Schizosaccharomyces pombe: one gene and its partners. Changing the gene in region 4 together with the main gene of any one other region gives a genetic interaction. Each region holds a gene or a part of one and is shown on either strand. Other genes may lie near its edges. The genes, in order: ryh1, git3, cdr1 and pyp1.

Region 1 (4,810 bases), 4.0 Mb from region 4:
ACTTATTGCAGTTTGCACAGTTTTGGGATTTAGCTATTTTTCATTCTGCCTAATTATCACGCCTTACTGTATCGACGTTTCTTTGTTGATCTTTAACAACTGTCCTTATTTTTTGGTTTTTCGCGGATTTTTTTAATTAGATATACAGTTAACACTTCATTTGTCGGTGTCTTTGTTTTCTTTAATTGTATTTGTATATTTAATTGTTAATTCTTGTTTTGGAAGATTTTATACTTTTTTATTGGTTATACAGCAATATACTTTTTTGAAACTTGATTTTTTGGATATCCCGGAAGTTTTTTTTCTGCTTTTTTTTTTCTTTGGTTTTGTTAGGTCGTAGAAGCTTCACTATCTTTTTACCTAGAAATGGCTGCTAAACACGTAAAATACATGGCTTGTCTATTCGATATGGATGTATGTTTATTTTTCACACCACATTACCTCTTATGAAAGCTTTTGCATTAACAATCACTCTTTTTACAGGGTCTACTTGTCGACAGTGAAACTATTTATACAAAGACGACCAGTATGTAAATAATATATCTGTGCTTATATTTAGCACAAAACTACAATGTTTTCTAATCTTTATTTTTTTTATAGATCTTATATTGGACAGGTATGGCAAGGATCCTCTTCCTATTTCTGTTAAGGCTCAAATGATGGGTATGTTATATAAAGCTAGCGAAGAGATATTTTAAAATGCTTTCAAAATTGCAGGTCTAACTTGCGATACGTAGGGAGACCGGGTTCCGCAGCTGCCAAGGTTGTTATAGATTGGTCCAACATTCCTATGACTCCTCAACAATTCGTTGATGAACAACAGGTTATTCGGGTACGTACTTATACGCTACATTTATTTCCATTTCAACTAACTTTCTGAAAGGCAAAGTTTTGGTCGTCTTTGAAGCCTATGCCTGGGGCTGAATCTTTGATTAATAACCTCTCCAATCATGGAATTGATATCGGGGTATGTACTCATCCCTACGCTATAATAAAAGTGTGCTAACAGCATCACCAGCTTGCTACTTCCTCTAATACCGCAAATTATAATATGAAGACAGCCCATCTTAAACATATTTTTGAGAAATTTGGTAAAAATGTTATTACAGGTGATAATCCTAGTATTGCACCTGGTCGTGGCAAACCTTTTCCAGACATTTGGCTGAAGGTGTTGAATTTAATAAATGAAAGTAGGAAGCAGCGAGGTTTGAAGGCACTTACACCAAGCCAATGCATTGCCTTTGAAGACAGTATTCCCGGTGTCAAAAGTGCAAAGGCTGCAGGAATGCATGTCATTTGGGTTCCAGATGCTGCCATCAAAAACTTGGTAGGGGATCAGCTGAATGAGATTGTTGATTCTCAATGTGAGACGTTACCGAGTCTTTCAGAGTTTGATATAAACAAATATCTTAACATAAATTCAAAGCAGGCCTAGAGGTTATATCCGCTAACTTTTTTTTGGTTCATTCAATTTTTTTTGGCAAAAAACCTCATATCTTTTAATAAAATTAAAAAATTGAAGTATAAATAAAGTTCTACTGTTTCAATGAAAACCTTGAACTGACTCACATAGCATAAATAACTTATGAGTAAAGGGAAAAAGCGAAATCTAAAAAAAAAAAAATAATAACATTTCTCTGAATTCCAAAATCATACATTGTAATTTTTTTCCTTCTTTGCAAATGCCCTTGAAAAGTCAAGAAGCACCGCAGGGATTAAACGAAAGAGACTTATTCAGAAATTCAACTTCTCACTTTTGTAAAGCATATATCATAGAGACAGGATTAAAATAAAAAAGGACTAAAACAAGTAAAAAAAGAAGGAAAAGGAAACAGGTATAAAAGGAATCGCGATTCTTTAAAGGTGCAAAAGATTTAGGGGCTATAAGAAGATATATATATACTCACAGTATACTTTTTGAGGGTCAAATGACATTAAAAACCGCTGATTGCGGCCTGAAGCGAAAAAAAATAATTCACGAAACAGTTAGAGTACACTGACATGTTCAATGAGATACACTAGCAATTGCAGCTGCTTTCATTCTCGTTAGGCTGAATGCTAACGTCAATCATTTGAGTGCTTTGTGTTTCCACATTCTCCATGCCTGGTAACATTTGTGCAATTTTCCTAAACAACAGTTTTACATTGTGACCCGCTTTAGCACTAGTTTCCATGTGCATTATTTTTAATTCTTTTGCCTTTTTTTCTCCTTCTTCTTGAGTCACTTGCCTAAACCACCGTTAGCATAAGAACCATCAAAAACCAAAATATAGCTTTGGAATTATGAATGAAGAGATGTCGCATTGTAAATGCTGAATCTCTGTTAGCTGGAGTGTCATACCTTTTATCAGCCAAGTCCGTTTTATTACCAACGAGAACAATTATAACGTCGTCTCCCCGCTCAGCACGAACATCTTCAATCCATTTCTCAGTATTTACAAAAGAGTTATGGTCTATAAGTAGTTAGCAGATATTCGAAAATAAAGTCTGAGTAAAAATATATGGCAAAATTACTGTGCCACTATTACTTACTAGTGATATCGTAAACAATAATAGCAACAGAAGAATCCCTAATATACGAAGGAATTAAAGAACGGAAACGTTCTTGACCAGCAGTATCCCATAGTTGAAGACGAACCGTTCGATCTTCCAAATACATAGTCTTGCTTAGAAAGTCTATACCAATAGTAGCCTTGGACCCTGTTAGTAAAGAAGTTTTAATTATAGTTACTTACTTGATAAGTATTATCAAACTGATCGTACATAAATCGTGTAATTAACGATGTTTTGCCAACTGACTGCTCACCGAGAAAAACCAACTTAAATTTACGCAAAGAAAACGAGTAATTTTCTGACATTATGACAAAAAGTTTTGACTTCTAAATATACACAGACAAAAGTAATTTAGATACAGACGGAATTGCTTATTGATGATCAAAAAGCACCGTACTTAATAGTGGTAGTAGTGAGTAAAGACTATCGTGCTACAGTGAGATCCCGCCGCATATCCTTAATATACTTTCGCTTGTTTTACTTTTCATTCGCTTTTACGAAGTTTAATCTCGGTAAAGTAATTCTATAACAAACAACTTTTTCGCTGAAAAAGAAATCATGAACTCTCACCGTTCTTAAATTACTAAGCATTCCTAAAGATGGGTTCTTTTTCTTTGAGTTGTTGATAGTGATAGGTTTTTGGGTGTTAAAAAACATACAGCTGTAACAACAGTTTGTTTACTACTCATAGTTTTATACACAACATTTCAAGGAATGACAACTGGGATAAAAACGCGCCACATCGCATGGGAAGGAGGAGTCATCGAGATTTGATTATCATTAAACTATATAATACAAGAAATCTCTCGATTGGAATGGCCTAATTTTTGCTGAGAGTAGCTAAGTTTACAAAAAAATATTGGACACGCTGGGGATTGAACCCAGGACGACTCGCATGCAAAGCGAGCATGCTACCACTGCATCACATGCCCAAACATTGAAGGCTTCAGCATATTAGTAAAGTATAAGGTAATTTTTTTGTTTAGTAGCTGATGAAAGAAGGAAAATGGAAAGTAGTTAAACCATAGAACAAGCTTGAAATTCAACATAATGGCTTTATTCCATTTGAAATTTTATTAGAATGTTTCATAATCTACGCATCCTGTCTGCTACCAAGTTCAAGATTGGCAGACTGCACCAAACTGTTCGAAAAATGTATGTTTGTTAACTTGAATAAAACTAGCTGTTAAACGAGTCAGATTTAAGCAAAATATAAGCTTTACAGGAAAATATACTCGAGTTAATTTAGCAAACTCGGTCATTTCATTAATGATACAATTAGCTACGGAACAGCCAAGTCAAATTTTATACTTAATGTCAACAATAACAGGTTAGTTAGTGGGTTTTAATTTAATAATTTTCGAAATCAATAAAAGAGTAAATAGTATGGCTTTTCAAGCTTAGATTCTTTTAAAAATAAATTTTTTTTTTATTTGTATCCTTATTGCAATATGACGAAAAGTTCAAGAAAGATAAGAGAATTAAAAACTAAGTTATTTCATAATTATTAGCTGCTGTTTGGAATAAAAAATCTCGGAATTTAATGATAAGATGAAAAAGAATTTAAAAAGTAAATATGTAGTTATATATCCTATAAAAAATTTGGTTCAAACGATTAATTTAGATTATTTAGAATCTTTAAAAAGATAATGGGGTTAAAAACAAAAGAACTTGATTTTAGATTCAATTTAGAAATTTTTTTGTAAAGTGTCTTGATGTATTTCAATTTTTAGATGTGTAGCGCCATTTCATTTCACTCATGTTTTTAAAAGAGAAAAAAATTTACCTAGTTTATTAAGATATACAATTCATTCAGTTCCTTTTATCTTCTTCTATAATTCATTGTTTATTTACTTATTTATTTTCTCCAATGTCAAATTTATAGCACTTTAAATATCGCAAAATTTCAATATTATACGTTACAGCTCACAACTTTGTGTCTAAGCCCTCCGACTAATGTAGCTTACACTGCCTCTCCTTTCCCCATTTTCGACAAAATTAAATGAAAAATCCAATTTTTTGGCGATTCTTCCTTTTACTTATTTATTAAACACCAATTATTTCAAAAGGAAATTTTAAATTGTCTTTCCTTAGTGACGCTTGTTCAATAAGCCCCAAAGTTAGCAACCTTTACTTCATCGTACCATTATTGGCAGCCCAGGCATCGTTTATTTATATATTTTTATACAAAGCATTAGAAATTAACTTCGTATTGCATTTCTTTATTACGATTTTATTATAGGAGACGAAGTACGTA
Region 2 (6,314 bases), on a different chromosome or scaffold from region 4:
CGACGCTGGGCTGGCTCGATTGATCATATTCATTAAATCCAGCGCCTCCTCCCATTCCTGGAGAAAAAGCGCTATTGAAGTCGGGACCATAGCCCGGCTTGCCAAAAGCATCATAAGCCATGAGCACGTATTATCTCAAATTATGAAAGTTTGTTAGGGTGAATTAAAGAGCGATGAAAAAGCAAATCAACCACTTAAAAATATATCTGCGATCTTTTAGAGAGTGATTTTTAAATAATTGAATATAAAGTTACAGCTGATTCCACGAGTAGTCTACTTTTCAGTGGTGTGTTTAGTACAAGTTACGAGTCGCGTTTCGCGGTGGTGTACCGAAAAGAATAAAATCAAGCAAGCGTGCTTATATACTACAATGTAATAAAATTAACTGTTTTATTTAGAAAACCATCTTACATCTACTTTTTTTCTCTATAACCGTATAGTTTTCAATACAAAAACCTACTAATCACGGGATGCTCAATTGACTTAAAACGCTTAAAGCAATCAGATACTGTGCTACCATTCTGCTTTACCAAATGTAAAGAAAAACTAAAAAATACATTATTAAATTTGTAAACATTAACACATTCATATGTAACAAGAAGGCATGGAACAAATGTCCGACGCAATTTTACAAATCGTATAGGAAGAAAAGCGATTTATCCACAACAAAAGAATAGCTAATGGTGAATGACTATTCGCACATCGACATATACAAAATAAGAACATAAACGTATTGCTATGCACAATCCATCCATTTTATGTATTGAGGAAATATAGTATTGGGGACATAAATTTTGAATATAGTTTTGAAGACAGATGCTTAATGCAAGCAGTAAAATGTAAGAGCATCTGAAAAATGAAAACGAGTGAATGATAGTTGGTAAAGCTGAACATAAACATTCTATATAAGGAAGAATTGTTTAGGCGACTAAGCGTTCCAAAAATGAATTCCCCGAGATGAATAGAAAACTGTCATAGACACAGTACATATATATACATCGATAATTGTGAGCGGCCTTATCAATTTGAAGCAGCCAAGCTTTAAACCATCTTCCAATCCGAGCCTTTTGCCAAGTTAAGTAGTGCCAAAATTTAATACTTCGAAATAAATTCTGGGAAGCGAAAATTAAAGTATGACATATATTAGAGGTGATGCAAAAATGGGAGATATTAAAATATTAGTTGGTTTACCACAGTTGTTTCCATTCACATTCCATTGTCATTCACTGGATGGCTTTAACAAAAAAGGAAGACATATGAATGCAAAGGCTATGAGAAAATTTTAAGAAGTAAAGTGATAATAAAATCGTCATAAAAAGAAATTATAATACAAGAAGAGGAGCTTGTGAGACTTCACCATAAACAAAAATAAAAAGAACAAATCCTTCTATTTTTCCTCACCAAATTTACCCCGCCACCATTTTAAAGTCAACTCCTTTATTTGATCCCAATAACTTTTACTCGAATCTCTTTCCTTCAAATACGTGTAGCCACGATAACAAATCCAAATAAAATCTGACAAGGCAATAAAGATGGCAACGAAGTTGTCTGCAAAGACTGCAACAAATGCGAATCGTTTGCATGAACCAGAGCAGTGCAACGGTTGGGCAAGTATAACGATAATCTGTATTTGAGGGAGAATCCACATAAAGATAAAAATTGCAGGATAAGCAAACAAAAACTTAGACTGACTTAAAATGCGTTTCCGTTGTTTAAGGAGGGGATCATCTTGCATATCATTTCCATATGCAGCCAAAACACTAGAAGCACCATCTTCGTCACTAGTCAATGGACTACTGAGTTTAAAACTCGTGTGATCTTCAAGGCCATTTGTGCGATTTGGACTATCCCTAAAATCCTGTTCGAAATGTATTCCTGATTGATTTAGATTAGCAGGAGTAGACTGCGAACCAGGAGGCAAATTAGGATGCACAGAGGATAGTAACGGTCTCGAATAGGGAGAAGGTTGAGACTGCGAGGAGTAAATGGATTGAGAATTAGATGGAGTATATGTTAAAGTACTGTTGGTGTCGGGAAATGGTGGAAGAGCTACTTGATCCGGAGCGGTAGGATACGAATCAATGACATTTAAAGTATCAAACACATTTGTTTGTTGATGTGAGTATTTCTTGAAACGTTTGATTTTCCTTCTGATCGAGATGAACATGCAAGTTTGTAAAGCAATAATTGCAATACTTAGCGCATAATCAAATGACCAATTCAAACCAAACATGAATCGTACAGGGGTATAGGGAAGGTAGCATCGGGTTTGTAAATTGACAAATGTATTTCTTTTATTGGTAAAAGCAAGTCCGCCAATAGTTAAAGGAATTACAAATGACAGTGTAAACACAGTATGCCGAAAACGATATAGACCCCTTCGTTCAGTATCAACATGGGGGAAAAGCACCAAAAGAGCATTATGCAATATGTTGATAAAAATCCAATAATCAGTCATCCGAACAAGTACCAAAAGAAAAAATCCAATTGTAAAGCATCGATGTTTTGGAGCCCAAAAAAAAGGATCGCTTAATGCTAGACATGGATGAATCATTTGCACAATGGAACGAATAAACAATACAGAAAAAAGAGCGATATGAAATTGTTCACGTATTGTTCGCCGACGAGACCATCGCCAGAAGATAGCAATTAAGCTGAAAACGATAGATATGGCTGAAGCTATAATGACCATGATTCTCAGGTTAGCTAACTCTCTGCGAGAGACAATGATGATGGAACTCGTACTCGTGGCATCGGAAACATTAAACGTATAATCTAAATGAAGCATGAGCAACCTTGTTCCTTATTACAAAGTTTAAACTTCTCTTCAAGAAGACAGGAAAAAAAAAGAGAGGAGAGGAGGTGAGAAAGTAAAAAACAAGAAAAGCAATATCAGAACGAAAAACAAAAAAAAAGACAAAAAAAAAAGGAATACTCCAAAGACAAATCTATGACTTCAGAAATGTTCAAATAGACAAACAAGAAAGCAAAACAGAATTTTCAGCCACTTGGGTAATCAGTCCTATTACCCTTAAGAAGTGCAAAAAATAGTATATCTCGTATATCCAATTACCCAAGATTGCATATCTGACCCTCGATTTTCTATAAATTGCTTCGTTCGCGAATATAAACAGTCTCTTCAAGTTGATGTAAAAAACTTAGCAAACTGGCAATATAGAAGGAGCTCTCTAAACTAAACGAGTTTGTTTCGAATATGAATTTGAATTCCCGTACTTTTATTTTTGTTTCTGTTTTCTTTTTTCCAAAAACAAGCTTCTCGTCTTTACTTTTCAATTAACTCAACTATTCTTTCGAAAGTTGTAGACACACGATTAAACTGTTAAAGGTAAAAGTTGAAATAGTAAATCTACTGCTTTTTCCTTTAATCGTGGCCGACGAAGCAGCTCAAAAGTGATAAACGAATGCAACCAGGAAAGCCGGACGCAAAACGGTGCCGACGATTATTAATAAAGCGCAGTCCCGTCTCGACACTCTTGGCAAGAAGAAAAGCGCAATTGACGTGAACAACCAACGATGTATTGTGCTTATAAAGAAAGCACTAGTGAAGTCACTTAGAGCTCAAAGCCACTTATGCACGTTTTGCAAGGCTCTTAATAGCGTGGCGAACCTTCTTAAGGATATTGAAGAATAGGGAAATCGGAGGCGGTATGGCTTGCAATTAACGCCGTACAGTGAATAAAGCGGTACTAAATCAAATCGGTGAAATTTACCGATAATTAAGGAAAAGACAAATCAATTGAAGGCGCCGTGGTTTGGGTTGGCTGATGGAGTTGGCTTGATTATAAGTAATGATGGCGGAGAGTTGCCGCCTTTGCTGTTGTGTATGAGTGTGTAGTGAATATGCACAAATATACCTCAACGACTAATGGATAAGGTGTTATAGCAAGTACAGTAGTTAAGTACCAATGCGGGATTTTTCTGAAAAAATATGCAAGCACACGGGCTTGACAGAAACACAAGAGGAGACAAATAAACCAAAGTCTCCGCACCTTAAGTCCACAGAAGAAGAATAAAAAAAAAGATCGCAATTGAATTATGTGAGGGGGCCCAGGCGTCAATAGTACAGAGTCGATTGACTAAGTAGATTTAAGATCACAAGCTGTAGAGCAAATCAGAAATTTGCACCTACGCAGAGACAATGAACAATTGTAATTTCAGAAAAAAAAATATCGACAACGATTCAAATTCCGAGTAATTTTCTAGCAAGACTATTGAAGAAAAAATTTCCCTAATCCCTTGATGAGCCTTGTCGCACTAACACAATATCGGCGATGCTTTCACACTCCTAGATGTGCTACCACCAACCATTATAACTTATGAAAAAAATTTGTAGTATCGCTGTAAACGAAATTTTTGTGTAAGAATGACGAGAGTTGTTTTTGCACAGACAAACGAGGTTCGGACGATCGGCCTATTTTTTAAGTACGATAGTGATTAGTATAGTATATCGTGAGGAGCAAATACAATCGCATAAAAAAAATCAGGGTGAAAAGAATCATTTCAGAGTGCGTTAATGAGAAAGTCCTCGTTATAAAAGAAAAAAAGGAACCGATGATTTAAAGTTATTGATGGTTTTAAAAAACAGCGTTTATTTTTACAGTGTTTAAAGTCAAGTCAATATTAGGCACAAGAAGAGGTCACACTTTATTTTCAAAAGAAAATGGATGAAATGCAACTCCATGCGTTGCGATAAGCGTTAAACACCAATCTAGGAAGCAGTCCCTCAACAGAAATGAAGCGAAAATCGAATGATGGTGAGAATAGAATAATAAAACGAGCCCCGGTAAATTGAAAGTTGATAGAATCAAGTTTCAATTAGGGGTAATGAAAACGTGCTTAAAAATAGGGAGTAATGTTGTAGTTACCAAAATGAACAATTCGGACCAGACCAATAAATATTGTCGAAATAAAACAAGGAGTGTTAAATTTTATTATTATGTCTTTATTCTCCTTGGAAACCGGTTCGTCCACGTGAAGAGAATTCTATTAGCATTGTCGAAACCGTTTGATCCGGTTATGCCTTCATATCTTTGAAAACATTTCCGCCAATTCCACCAAGTGAAAATCACAATATCGTTAGTCGGTATTGTCTTTAGGTTTACTAGCGGGGGCGTTTTTGTTTTGAGGAAAAAAGAATATTCTCTGGTTTCCATCTACCTTAAGTGCCGATTAGGCAGATAAGCTAGATTAAGTGAAATGGGAAACGGGATTCATTTTCCATTGACAACACTTTTAAACATTATTTGATAATTCGCATGCAACCCTTCAAAGTCGATTCGACATTTTAAGGTTTACTTCACGGACATTGAAATCATTGTGAAGCTTTGTAGACTGTTGTCTCTCTCGGAAGTACCCAAAAAAAAAAAAAAAATCCTTTTTACACTCATAACGTTCTAGCTGTTTCATCCCTTTAAAAAATATCATGTTTTTTTTTTGGTGCTCGGAACATTTACTTTCTCCACTTGGTTCGTCTATTTTTGAAGTTAAACTAACTATTTGACCATTTTCGTACTTAATGTCATGAACTCCTCTCGTGGATTGTTAAGTCAATTATCAAAACCAACCACCAACTCAATTTTAACCGTTGTAACCTGACCCATTATTAACACTAGTATTCATGCTGTACTTGCGGCAATTCCCCCATCAAAAAGTTTTCAGAGTTGTCTTTTGATACCGATTATGTGTCGTGGTGGAGGCTTACACCCCAAGGATCGGAACGGGATCTTCTCAATTTGATTTTAATGCTCTGCATGGACAAGCCTAAGGGAAAAGAGTCATGCAACAAGTAGAGAAATTTATTTCAACATTGTTGTGTTGGCGGTTTCTGTTTGCTAATCCTCAGCAACGATCATATGCAGTTGAGATCTCGACCAACTTTTCGTTAAATAATGTCAAAATTTGCAACAAATGTTTTATCACGGTACTCGAAGAATGTGAACTTAATGAAGTTTCTCATTTGGTTGCCAAATTGTGGTCACACATCAATTTTGTCGAAATAACCATTCCGATCCTGATTTCGTTCCATTTTTACTACTTTTTTAAATTTGGGATTAAGTTGAATTGGTCTGTCTTCCTACATCTTGTTCCATACCCGTTCCAAACTTTGACATAATTGGATGAAGCTGTCTTGTTTTAGATAGAATAATACCTTGGAGCGTAATTGCTTTTCCTCTTCAGTAAGTTCTGTTGGTAGGATTTGTGAAGTCGTTGGGGGTGATGGAATCAAATTTGCGTATGCTTGGTTCTCCGGTTGAGCAACCCACGAAGCCTGTGTCTGAGAGTTCAGCGGCGTA
Region 3 (5,229 bases), 2.5 Mb from region 4:
TTTTCCTCTTCTTGGAACTATACATTCAGCAGCCGCGTACAAATCATATCCAGCAGAATTTGCAGAGCCTTTAGTAGGAATGGTTGCTTTTTCAGAAAGTTTTTGAACGAAAAAACTCATGTTTAAACTATAAAACTGTGTAATTTCACAGACAATAGAATTCTTGATTGGGAATGAGTGTTTGCAATAGATACTGGCGTTGCATATAAATTTGAAGTTACGCGACACGTTGCGGTTGACGGCGCGTCGCGTTTGTTTACATTTAGTCAAGATATACACCGTACAACATACCTAATATATAAACGTAGACAGTGTATAAAAACTTTCTAAAGAGGTAAACGTTTATAGGAATTATTTCTTCATATTTTATTTATTGCGATAACTCTTAAACCTCAATTTTATTACTAAACACTCCGGAATATTCGACAATTTTCAAAAACCAACAGACGTTATTACATAAAAACACCCAAATTTCATATAAAACTAATGTTCACAACAAAATTTTACTTTATACAGACTACTGATTTCTGGAAAGCGATTGTAATAGAAGATATTCATTAGTTACATATATAAACTAGTGTGCCCAAATCATTAACAGATATATAACGTAAAACCCTAAAACCATTAAATTGCTAATAGACTCAAAGGTCCAATTGCCAAAAAAGATCATTAAATTCGTAGAAAGGTACAGGTACACACGACGGGAGATCCAAAAAAAATAATTATCATCCTCATTAAATTATAAACAGATCTTAACATTTGAATAGCCGCCCACAGTATAGACATTAATGGTTGATTTTGAGGAAGAAGACTGTGTTTTTGAAAAAATTCCTATTTAATCCTTCCGAAAGAATGAAGAAATCTTTCGTAATACAGAACCGGAAGAAACTTTTCTGGGAGTATATCTTGCATTAGTAGCATATTGAGAATATCTCCGACTTGGAACTGGAGATGAACATAAAGGAGCAGAAGCAGATCTCACATTAGTTATGTTCGGCTGCATATTACTGATTACAGGAAAAGATATGGGACGTCTATTTTGATTGCCTGATCCTTGAACAAAGCCTCCAACCTGGACATCGTCCAAATTGGTTAGCCCATCTATTGATGGTTCAGGAGTTGAAAGTGAATCAGGAGTGTAGTAGCCACTGGCTGTGCTAGACAGAGTGGTGCTAGGAAAGATGCGGACATAGCCATACCGATTGAATGGTACGGATTCTAATTGCTCAAGGGTAGGAGTGGGGAGAGATTGTAAGTCCAGAGAATCAGTTCTAACATTATCAGTTGAATAAGTATACTCTTCTGGTGGACAAACAAACATATAATTATAGTCATCATCCAAAGTCGATGGGTTTGAAACTACTTCATGACAGGCATAGCTGTCATAATCCTTGTCAGAAGACACCCTGATCGGTATTGGAGATTGAGACATTTGATTTAAGGCTGAAAGCGGACTAGAAACTCTTCTAGCAAGTTCATCTTCAAAATTACTACTTTTGCGAGAGTTTGTCGAAACATTGGATTTTACTAACGATGTTGTTGAAATAGAAGCTTTGGTGAAAAGATTATTGTCGTGAATTAAATCGTAAAGACTGAGATATTTATTTTCATCAAAACGTTGTTTTTTCAACATATCATCGCGCAAAATCTCGGATAAAACTTTATACACATATTTTTCGTCGTTATCATCTCGCTGTTGAAGACGACGAACGACTTTTTTAGAGGATGATTTTTTCCAAAGCACACACATGCAATCAACTACTAATGGATCAATTTCGTCAATTGACAGTGAAGGGGTAGGAGGGGTAGTGCTATCCATAGAGCTCAATGATGTACAGCCCATTAGAAATGGATGAGAAAAAACTTCCGGAATTGTTATACGCGTGCTTGGATTTACATCTAGCATTCTGTGTAACAAATCTTGCGCAGCCGAAGAAATTGAAGAAGGAAGATCATATGCGCCATGGCGAATCTTATTATAAATAACATCTGTGTTTTGACCACCAAAGGGGAGCTTATTCGACAACAATGAATACAAGATGACACCACAAGACCAAACATCAGCAGGAGCTCCACGATATGGTTTGTGAGATACAATTTCGGGAGCCAAATAATGTAAAGAGCCGCAATAATTCTCAAGACAAGAGTCATTTGGTTCAACAGTGGCCATGCCAAAATCAGCTATTTTAATTTGTTGCTCATTTACCTTGATGAGAATATTCTCAAGTTTTAAATCCCGATGGCGAAAGCGAAAGCGATGACAATGCGCTACAGCATCAAGAATTTGGGAAAGATAATGCGCAGCCTCTCTTTCGCTCAAAGGTCCATGTTTGCGTATATAGTGAAAAAGCTCACCATCAGGGACGTACTCGAGTGCTAAGTACATATGCTGATGATCGGTCCAAACATCGTATAGTCGAAGAATATTAGGATGGCGCAACAAACGCATCATTAAGATTTCCATTCCTATGGAGGCATATCGAATAGGGATAATTTTGATGGCAGCCAAATCACCAGTTTTAGCATGCTTGGCAAGACGCACACAGCTAGTGGAACCAGTCCCTAAAGTCTTCCCAAGACGCCATACGCCAATAGTATTTTTGTGTCGCTTCACCATTCAAATCTAACCTTTTATTAAGGGAAAAGGCTTTCCAAAAGTAAAATTGCAGACTGAATAATAGCAACTTCAGAAAATCTGAAATACTTATGATGAAAAGTAGAATAAATGTCGAAAAAGTAGCATGAAATTTGGAATAAGTAAAGGAAAAAGTGAATGACACCACGATACAAAATAGGGTGTGATCACAAAATAGATACTGGAAACGAATTAATAAAATAAGAGTGCCTCATAAATAACCTAAAGCACTTTTCTGAGTGTATTGTAGAACAGAAAAGTGAAACGTGGAACGGAAATAGACGGACCTTGAAAAAAAAATGGGAAGTAGCACAAGAACACAAATAACAAATGTAAGTTACAAGACGTTTTGAGTAACAGCAATAAAAAAAGGTAAAGACAAAGAAAAAGAAACGAAGGGGAGCGTAAAATAAAGAAAGTATGTAAAGTGTATAAGATTCGTGATGTATAAATCCAATAAAGGTTAAGTTAATGATATTCGAATAAGGATTGAACTTTCATAAATTAAAAGAGAGAAGAAACAAGAAAGGAGAAAGTAAAAATGGAAATATTGGGGCGGTCAAATAGTTGAAAAAGGTAGAATAAAATAAACTAACGGATTTTAATTCAAACCCTGTATAATCAGATAAAAATATGGAGAACAGTAAGTAAAACAAAGAAAGATGAATGAATAAATAAATAATATGTAGAACAACCCACTATATAGAAGGCCTACAGATGTTTCAAAATATCGATCTACAATATTAATACAAACAGGATCCCAGCAATTCCTAAAATCGAAAACAATGCTGAGTTCTTATGCAGAGTAGTCCAAAAGACGGAATTGGCCAAGATAAGTTTGGCAGAGGACAACATGAATGCTGGAGGAGCGGATATAAGTGTTCAAGAGTAGGGAAGGGTGGGGCACTACTTGGACTTGATCAGGGAACATATGAAGAGTGTATTGAAGGCTTACGATTATTTCGGCGGATCACGATAGGATGACTTAAGGAACGGAAGCAATCCACTACTTGGTTTCTAGTCCTTGAGGGTGGTAATCTCAGGCTCATAGTGCTGTCTTGATAAAAACTTGAATATTAACAGCTGATTTATAGCTGTAGAGCAAATTTTATTTAGTTTTTCAGTTTCGCTTTATGAAGTTTAATTAATATTCATATTGTAGTAAAATCGAACCGTTAAAGTTGTCTTTTCTTCTCTTATTTACATTTTCGTTAAAAGCAACTTTAGCAGTCTTTTCTGCTTCTTTCACATTTGTTTACGTAGTACTCGTTTTGGCAATCTAGGAGCAAGTTATTGCAATAGATGAATATTTTTTCTTGTTTTACTCGTGTAGTTTTAGCAGGGAATTCCAGTTTTTCATCGAAAAGTAACACGACTTGGTAGCACGGTCAAGAACCCGTTCTACTTCGGGGATAACCAGGGACATGATGCATACCATATCTGATAACACATGCCATTACACTTTTTTTGAAAATTTGAGCAAAAAAAATAATGAAAACAGGTACTTGAAATCTGACAAGTGTTAGAGCCGGCTTCATGCCAAACATTGAAACTTGCTTCAATAATAGATGAAATCTCAGTATATAATGAATGTATTGAACGGGTTACTGAAGTTCATTTCATCATTATAAGCGAATATTGGATGTTTGAAATCGTCTTCATCCTATGGTATGAATAACAACGACTGTCGTGAAAAGTTGATGAAAGACTATAGGCCCCGCTTAAGAAATTACGATATTATAAAGAATCTATAATTTTCTACAATTTAATTGAAATTTTTATATTTGGAGGCGAAAACTTATTCTTTTTCAGCTTGCTCAACTTTATGTGACTTTTTTACATGGTATATCAACATGAACATTCTTACTGCAAATATTTCAACTAAATAAATTCATTAAATTTTTATTAGACAATAAAAATATACTATAGCAACTTGAGAGCTGCAATACGTGTACGCCACAAACAATTGAGAAACAAACAGAAATTGTTTACACAGTTTCGCTGTTTTCAAAATATAACCACGGGTAAGTAATACAGTTGGCATACAACATTTGGGTAACCTACCATAATTATCAATTGAGCGCAAGAATGGCTTGGATACTGACTCAACCCCAGTCTACTGAATCGACGATGTTTGGAAAATCGAATGAAACCAGCAAAACCGATCCTTCACCTTTAACTATCGGTAATCCAAGTTTGATTATCGAGCAAAGATGTGGTTGGTGCTTGGACAGATGGATCTACTTGATTGCTTGATATTTTTCGGTGTCAGTTCGTTACGCTAAAATGACTAAGAAAAATGAACACAGCCTCGATAAACAAATATCATCAGTGCGATCCAACAGCGGTATTTGTCTGAGTTTCTGGTTTACATTCCGAGCCACATGAAAGATAGGCGTTACAGGGCTCGGGAATGCAGCCGAAGCCGTTCAAAGTTGTCAATAAAGAACGTTTGGTAGAAGTGTCCAACAGCAACGAAGTGTTGATGACTTGTTGCCAATGATGAATTTCTTCACTATTGAGTTGGACTTTGGAATGTGAGTGGTCGTACCAACAACTACGGGTATATGGCCTTATTGCAGTGTAAGATTATC
Region 4 (4,291 bases):
ATCTTTAGAAAAGAAAAGCAGCTTGCTGAAACTAAAGTTAACTTGGCCGTTTTAGACGAGGACCATATGATGGCTTTACAAAAATGGAGTCAGCTTATGAACCGCATAAAGACAAAGTGAATATAAAAGCATTCTAGGTACTATTGGAATATCTGCATCCTAATGATTGCCATAATAATTTATTTATATTGAGTTACGTTTAATGTGTATTATAAAAAATCTTTGTTCCTGCAAGTTTGTCTTACTTAAAAACATACAAACGATAGTTCAAATGAATGTATATTTAATGAATCGTCTCACCTTTAATCAGTGAAGAAAGAATTCTATTGCTCTTGATCACGACCACTTCGCTTAAACTCTATATTTCTGCCTAAAGAAATCGAGTAATAAATTTTAAAAAGCATCTGAAAATAATACAAGGTTATTATCAGTTTGATGACTTTATCTTGTACAAAAAATAGGTTTACAAAGTTCTAAAAAGAAAATTTAAGAGAAAAAAAGATATCATTAAAAAGCCTAGTTCTCAAATATACTTTTTGAAATAAAAGACAACGTGATTAAAGCAACTGAATTTCACAAACATTGACAGTAAATTCAAATGCAAATGTAAAAAAAAAGACACTTTACAAGTACAAGAAATAAAGGAATCGATTAAAACACGAATATATATTGCCAAGAAAAATCCAGTCAAAAATTTCATGTTAAAACCGGGAAATGAACTTGAGATTTTTGCAAAGAATCGATCAAGTCATACACATATTTAAATTGTGTGAAGGTTTGAACCATCTTCATCCGCTGCTTTCGGATATGATCAACCAACTGGAAAACGACGTCTGAAGAATCGGCGACAGAAGGATTGAAACCAGAAAGTTTGCTTTCTGGGAAGCGTAGGATCGTATCTAGTACAATAAAGGTTCCTGTCCGACCAACACCGGCAGAGCAGTGCACAATAGTATTTCCTGATCCGTGAGAGTTGTTCACATATTTTAAGAACTCAACCATAGATTTCACGTTTTCAGGAGAATTACAATCAGACCAATTAGGATATTGATAGTGATGTACTTTTTTAACTGAAGGAAAATTGGCATTCTGAATTTCAAACTTTCGCAAAATGAATCGAGAATTATCGACATTTTCCTCCGAAATTTGTTTGACACAGTAATCTCCATACACTTGTTTATCTCCAATACCATTACTTGGCCAATATGCAGTACACATTTCGCGGCCAGCCTCGAACAATGAACCAAGCATAACAATAGTGCCTATATTCTCCACATTGTCCCATACCATGTGCCAGAAATCGCTAATAGAACGAGAAATAGAACCTTGGCAAGCGATGTAATTTGAAGTTTCAGTTTTGATAAAGGAAGCATTGATATAATCGAGCTCTGAAGGGCTAGTTCTTTTCAAATGCACACGAGTACAATTGTAAGGAACAATGTCGGTATATCTGTTTTTCTTATACGATGTATTACTCAATGAATCAACGGTACTCCACTGAGAATTACGATCCGAACAAGAAACTAGACGTTGATGCTCCAATGATTGCAGGCGCAAGAACTTCTGGTAGAGGGTCGCAACATCTGGATTGGTAAAAGCATCGGGCACACTGTGTAAGCAGGGTGTCTGGACTGTAGCACTGCCAAATGGAGAAGATTTGTTGTCCTTGTTCTCAGGTAGAGGACAGAAAAAGTTATTTAAAGACAAACCGGCAACATTAGGAGTGGGAGGAGGACGAGAGAAGTAATCGGAGCCTTCGCTGGACAAAGAGATAGGAGCAGTTTGAGCAGCAGAGTAAGACAATCTGGGGCGAGCGCTAGGCAAAGCACCTAATTTACTTTTTACAGGAGAGTTGTCAATCACAGATGGATACTTGCCCGAGACTTTCGAATAGTCTAAATCTAAAATACCGAAGTCACCAGAATAGGATTCTTTTCTAAATTTTTCACCAATTACCTCAGCGTTCGTTACGTAGTTAGCAATCCAAGCAGGAACACAAACAAGAATGGATGAAAACTCTTGCCAGTTTTGAAAATCTCTCTTGTCGTCGACGTCGTGAAGATTGCTGATGATACGCGCGACCGAAAAGGCAGGACGCTTAATTAAGGTTGCAGGTAAAGAAAGATTGACGGAGCCCTTAATTCTAGATTTGGAAAACTCGGATACGGGACGAAGGTCGATGATCAATGTGTCATCCTTCCAAGCTTCCTTGTCGAGATATTCTTGGAGGCAAGAAGCATGAACAGCATACTTACTCGTTGCTACACCCCGCTGAGGAGGTAAAGCAATACATGAACCCGAAGGAGCAATTGTAAAAGTAGACGATTTTGAACCGTTTGAAAAATTCATCGTGGTTTTTTAGATGAATGTTTTGTATTAAGAATATTTGGCCTTAAAAAAGAAGCAGAGATGATTAAAAAAAAAAGTAAAAAAGTAAAAAAAAATTCAGACTTCTTAAATAAAATACAAATATTGGATAGCACAAGTTTTGAAGGCCGAAAGCAAAATAATGAATGGATAGGAAATATCAAAATTACGGAAAATCCAGGGTTCTAAAAAGGAAAGAATTAACGCAAAATTTGGCAATAAAATTAGTAAAATATAGAAGGAAACAAGAGAAGATTCAAATCAAGTCTGAGATGAAAAAAGTTTTTCAATTCAAACTTTCTGCAGAAAATAAAGATGGAAGAGTTTTAGAGGGGATGAGGAGTATCCAATTCAAAGAATGGGTTTGAATCAGTACTATGCAAATATGAGAATAAAAAGGGGGAATCCTTAAAAATTAACGGATTAATGAATCGTCACTTCAAAGGTCAAGCGATTTTAAGAGGAAAATAAAAATACTGCTTGTGAGTGCACAGTGCAAGATTGCAAAAAGCAACACTATTTAAGAAATTATTTCGTATTTAGTAGAAAATGCAAAAAGGTAGGGCACACGCACGAAAACAGTAACCAGACTGAACAAAAATATAAGATAGAGGGTATAAGAAATATTATAAGTTGCAGTTTGTCAAAGTGCAGAAAAGTATACAAGTAGGAGATCGAGGAACGAAAAGAGGTAGAGGCTAATTGAAATGTAATGACAATGGAATAATTTTCCTACAAAACAGAAAACCCAATTTAAAAGTCAGAAGCGTATTCAAAGCTAAAGGGGGGAACCAAAAGCACGTTGATGCAACAAACTAGCAAAAACGTAAGGTCAACTAAGGATGAAAATTACAGAGCACACGTCTGTAAATAAACCAAATGAATGGTGAATACTTAGACAGATGAGTTCAGAAAAAAAGAAACAGAACTATTCAGAATGCAGAACCCCACAAAAAAAACAATAGACAAGTAACCACCAAGACCCCAAAGTGAAGTGAAAACAAACGGTAAAGCAATGAAGAAAATGGGAAAAAAATTCAAAACTTAATCCGAAAAACTCAAGGGAAAGGAATATATGAGCTCTTCAAAGGTTCAAAAAAAGCGATACTACACTGTGGAAAGAAACCCAAGAGTACACCTTTTTGAGAAAAGACAAAGAAAATGATGAAACGAGAAATAGGATAACTAGAAAAGGAGAATTCCGAAAATATGAAAATATCAACGAAAAGGAAACAAGAAAAAAAAAGAGGGAGGTATAAAAAAAATGTAAAAGGAGAAAAATCTAACCCAATTGAGAGAAAGAAGTGGTGAAACAAAAGTTGAGAAAAGTTGAAGAAATTAACTATTTTGCATCGTACGGGATAAAAAAATGAAGCAAATAGAAAAAGCACGGCGATTCAACGATATATCTGGTGCTCTTTTATGGAAGGAAAAAAGACTAGTTCTTCCTATTTATTCACTTTGAGTTAAAGTTTAGAAAAGAAAAGATGGGCGCAGGTAATGAAACAAACGACTTTTAAAAGCTACGTATAGCGGTGGAGAGACAACAGAGAGAACTGTTGACGAGATGAAGGATGGAGGAAAAAATCTAAGAAAGAGAATTAAACGCACTAAACGTCAACGAAATCAAGTCTAACGATTTTTGATTTTTACCAAACGATCAGAGCAAGGACTGAGCGACGAACCAAGGTAAAATTTTTCATACGATCCAACAAAACGACGATGAAAATAAGATCCAATCTTATACTTTACCCAACGTTTAAACAGGAAACCCAAAAGATAAAAAGGATTGGGAGCAAGTAAAGGGTTAAGAGGAGGAAGGGAGAGGACGAGCGAGCGATATGTAGAAAGAGAAGAAGAAGTAGAAATAGGTATATCTTGGAGCACCAAACAATGATATCACTTAATAGTCCCCCGGGTAAGA

What was found.
Region 1: of pyp1 (region 4) and ryh1, extra expression of one rescues a mutant of the other (dosage rescue), as found in Schizosaccharomyces pombe (one study listed by BioGRID).
Region 2: of pyp1 (region 4) and git3, changing one suppresses a phenotype caused by changing the other (phenotypic suppression), as found in Schizosaccharomyces pombe (one study listed by BioGRID).
Region 3: of pyp1 (region 4) and cdr1, changing one enhances a phenotype caused by changing the other (phenotypic enhancement), as found in Schizosaccharomyces pombe (one study listed by BioGRID).

Annotation. Positions count from the first base shown.
Region 1 is NC_003424.3:1,192,179-1,196,988, forward strand, and holds ryh1 (Rab family GTPase Ryh1), read right to left. Parts: upstream 2,968-4,810; 5' UTR 2,859-2,967; coding exon 2,736-2,858; exon of another isoform or gene 2,693-2,735; coding exon 2,533-2,692; intron 2,456-2,532; exon of another isoform or gene 2,454-2,455; coding exon 2,342-2,453; exon of another isoform or gene 2,230-2,341; coding exon 2,019-2,229; 3' UTR 1,436-2,018; coding exon of another isoform or gene 1,019-1,435; 3' UTR 968-1,018; coding exon of another isoform or gene 884-967; 3' UTR 833-883; coding exon of another isoform or gene 738-832; 3' UTR 664-737; coding exon of another isoform or gene 601-663; 3' UTR 527-600; downstream 1-526. Other genes in the region: pseudouridine-5'-phosphatase Pud1, read left to right, coding at 367-414, 484-526, 601-663, 738-832, 884-967, 1,019-1,435. UniProt on the Schizosaccharomyces pombe protein: Has a role in retrograde traffricking of proteins from the endosome to the Golgi. Involved in protein transport to the plasma membrane. Involved in the secretory pathway where it has a role in acid phosphatase secretion.
Region 2 is NC_003421.2:1,541,794-1,548,107, forward strand, and holds git3 (G-protein-coupled receptor Git3), read right to left. Parts: upstream 4,303-6,314; 5' UTR 2,789-4,302; coding exon 1,388-2,788; 3' UTR 540-1,387; downstream 1-539. Other genes in the region: single-stranded DNA-binding protein Ssb2, read right to left, coding at 1-121; meiotic recombination protein Rec7, read right to left, coding at 6,095-6,314. UniProt on the Schizosaccharomyces pombe protein: G protein-coupled receptor (GPCR) that senses glucose and signals via the heterotrimeric G protein alpha subunit gpa2 to activate adenylate cyclase and PKA signaling, and suppress sexual development and gluconeogenesis.
Region 3 is NC_003424.3:2,678,930-2,684,158, forward strand, and holds cdr1 (serine/threonine protein kinase (NIM1 family) Cdr1/Nim1), read right to left. Parts: upstream 3,479-5,229; 5' UTR 2,618-3,478; coding exon 836-2,617; 3' UTR 539-835; downstream 1-538. Other genes in the region: dut1 (deoxyuridine 5'-triphosphate nucleotidohydrolase), read right to left, coding at 1-120. UniProt on the Schizosaccharomyces pombe protein: This protein, a dose-dependent mitotic inducer, appears to function as a negative regulator of mitosis inhibitor wee1 by phosphorylating and inactivating it.
Region 4 is NC_003424.3:5,159,570-5,163,860, reverse strand, and holds pyp1 (protein tyrosine phosphatase Pyp1), read right to left. Parts: upstream 2,350-4,291; coding exon 697-2,349; 3' UTR 501-696; downstream 1-500. Other genes in the region: GTPase-activating protein Gyp51, read left to right, coding at 1-120. UniProt on the Schizosaccharomyces pombe protein: Plays a role in inhibiting the onset of mitosis. Dephosphorylates sty1/spc1 and wis1/spc2/sty2.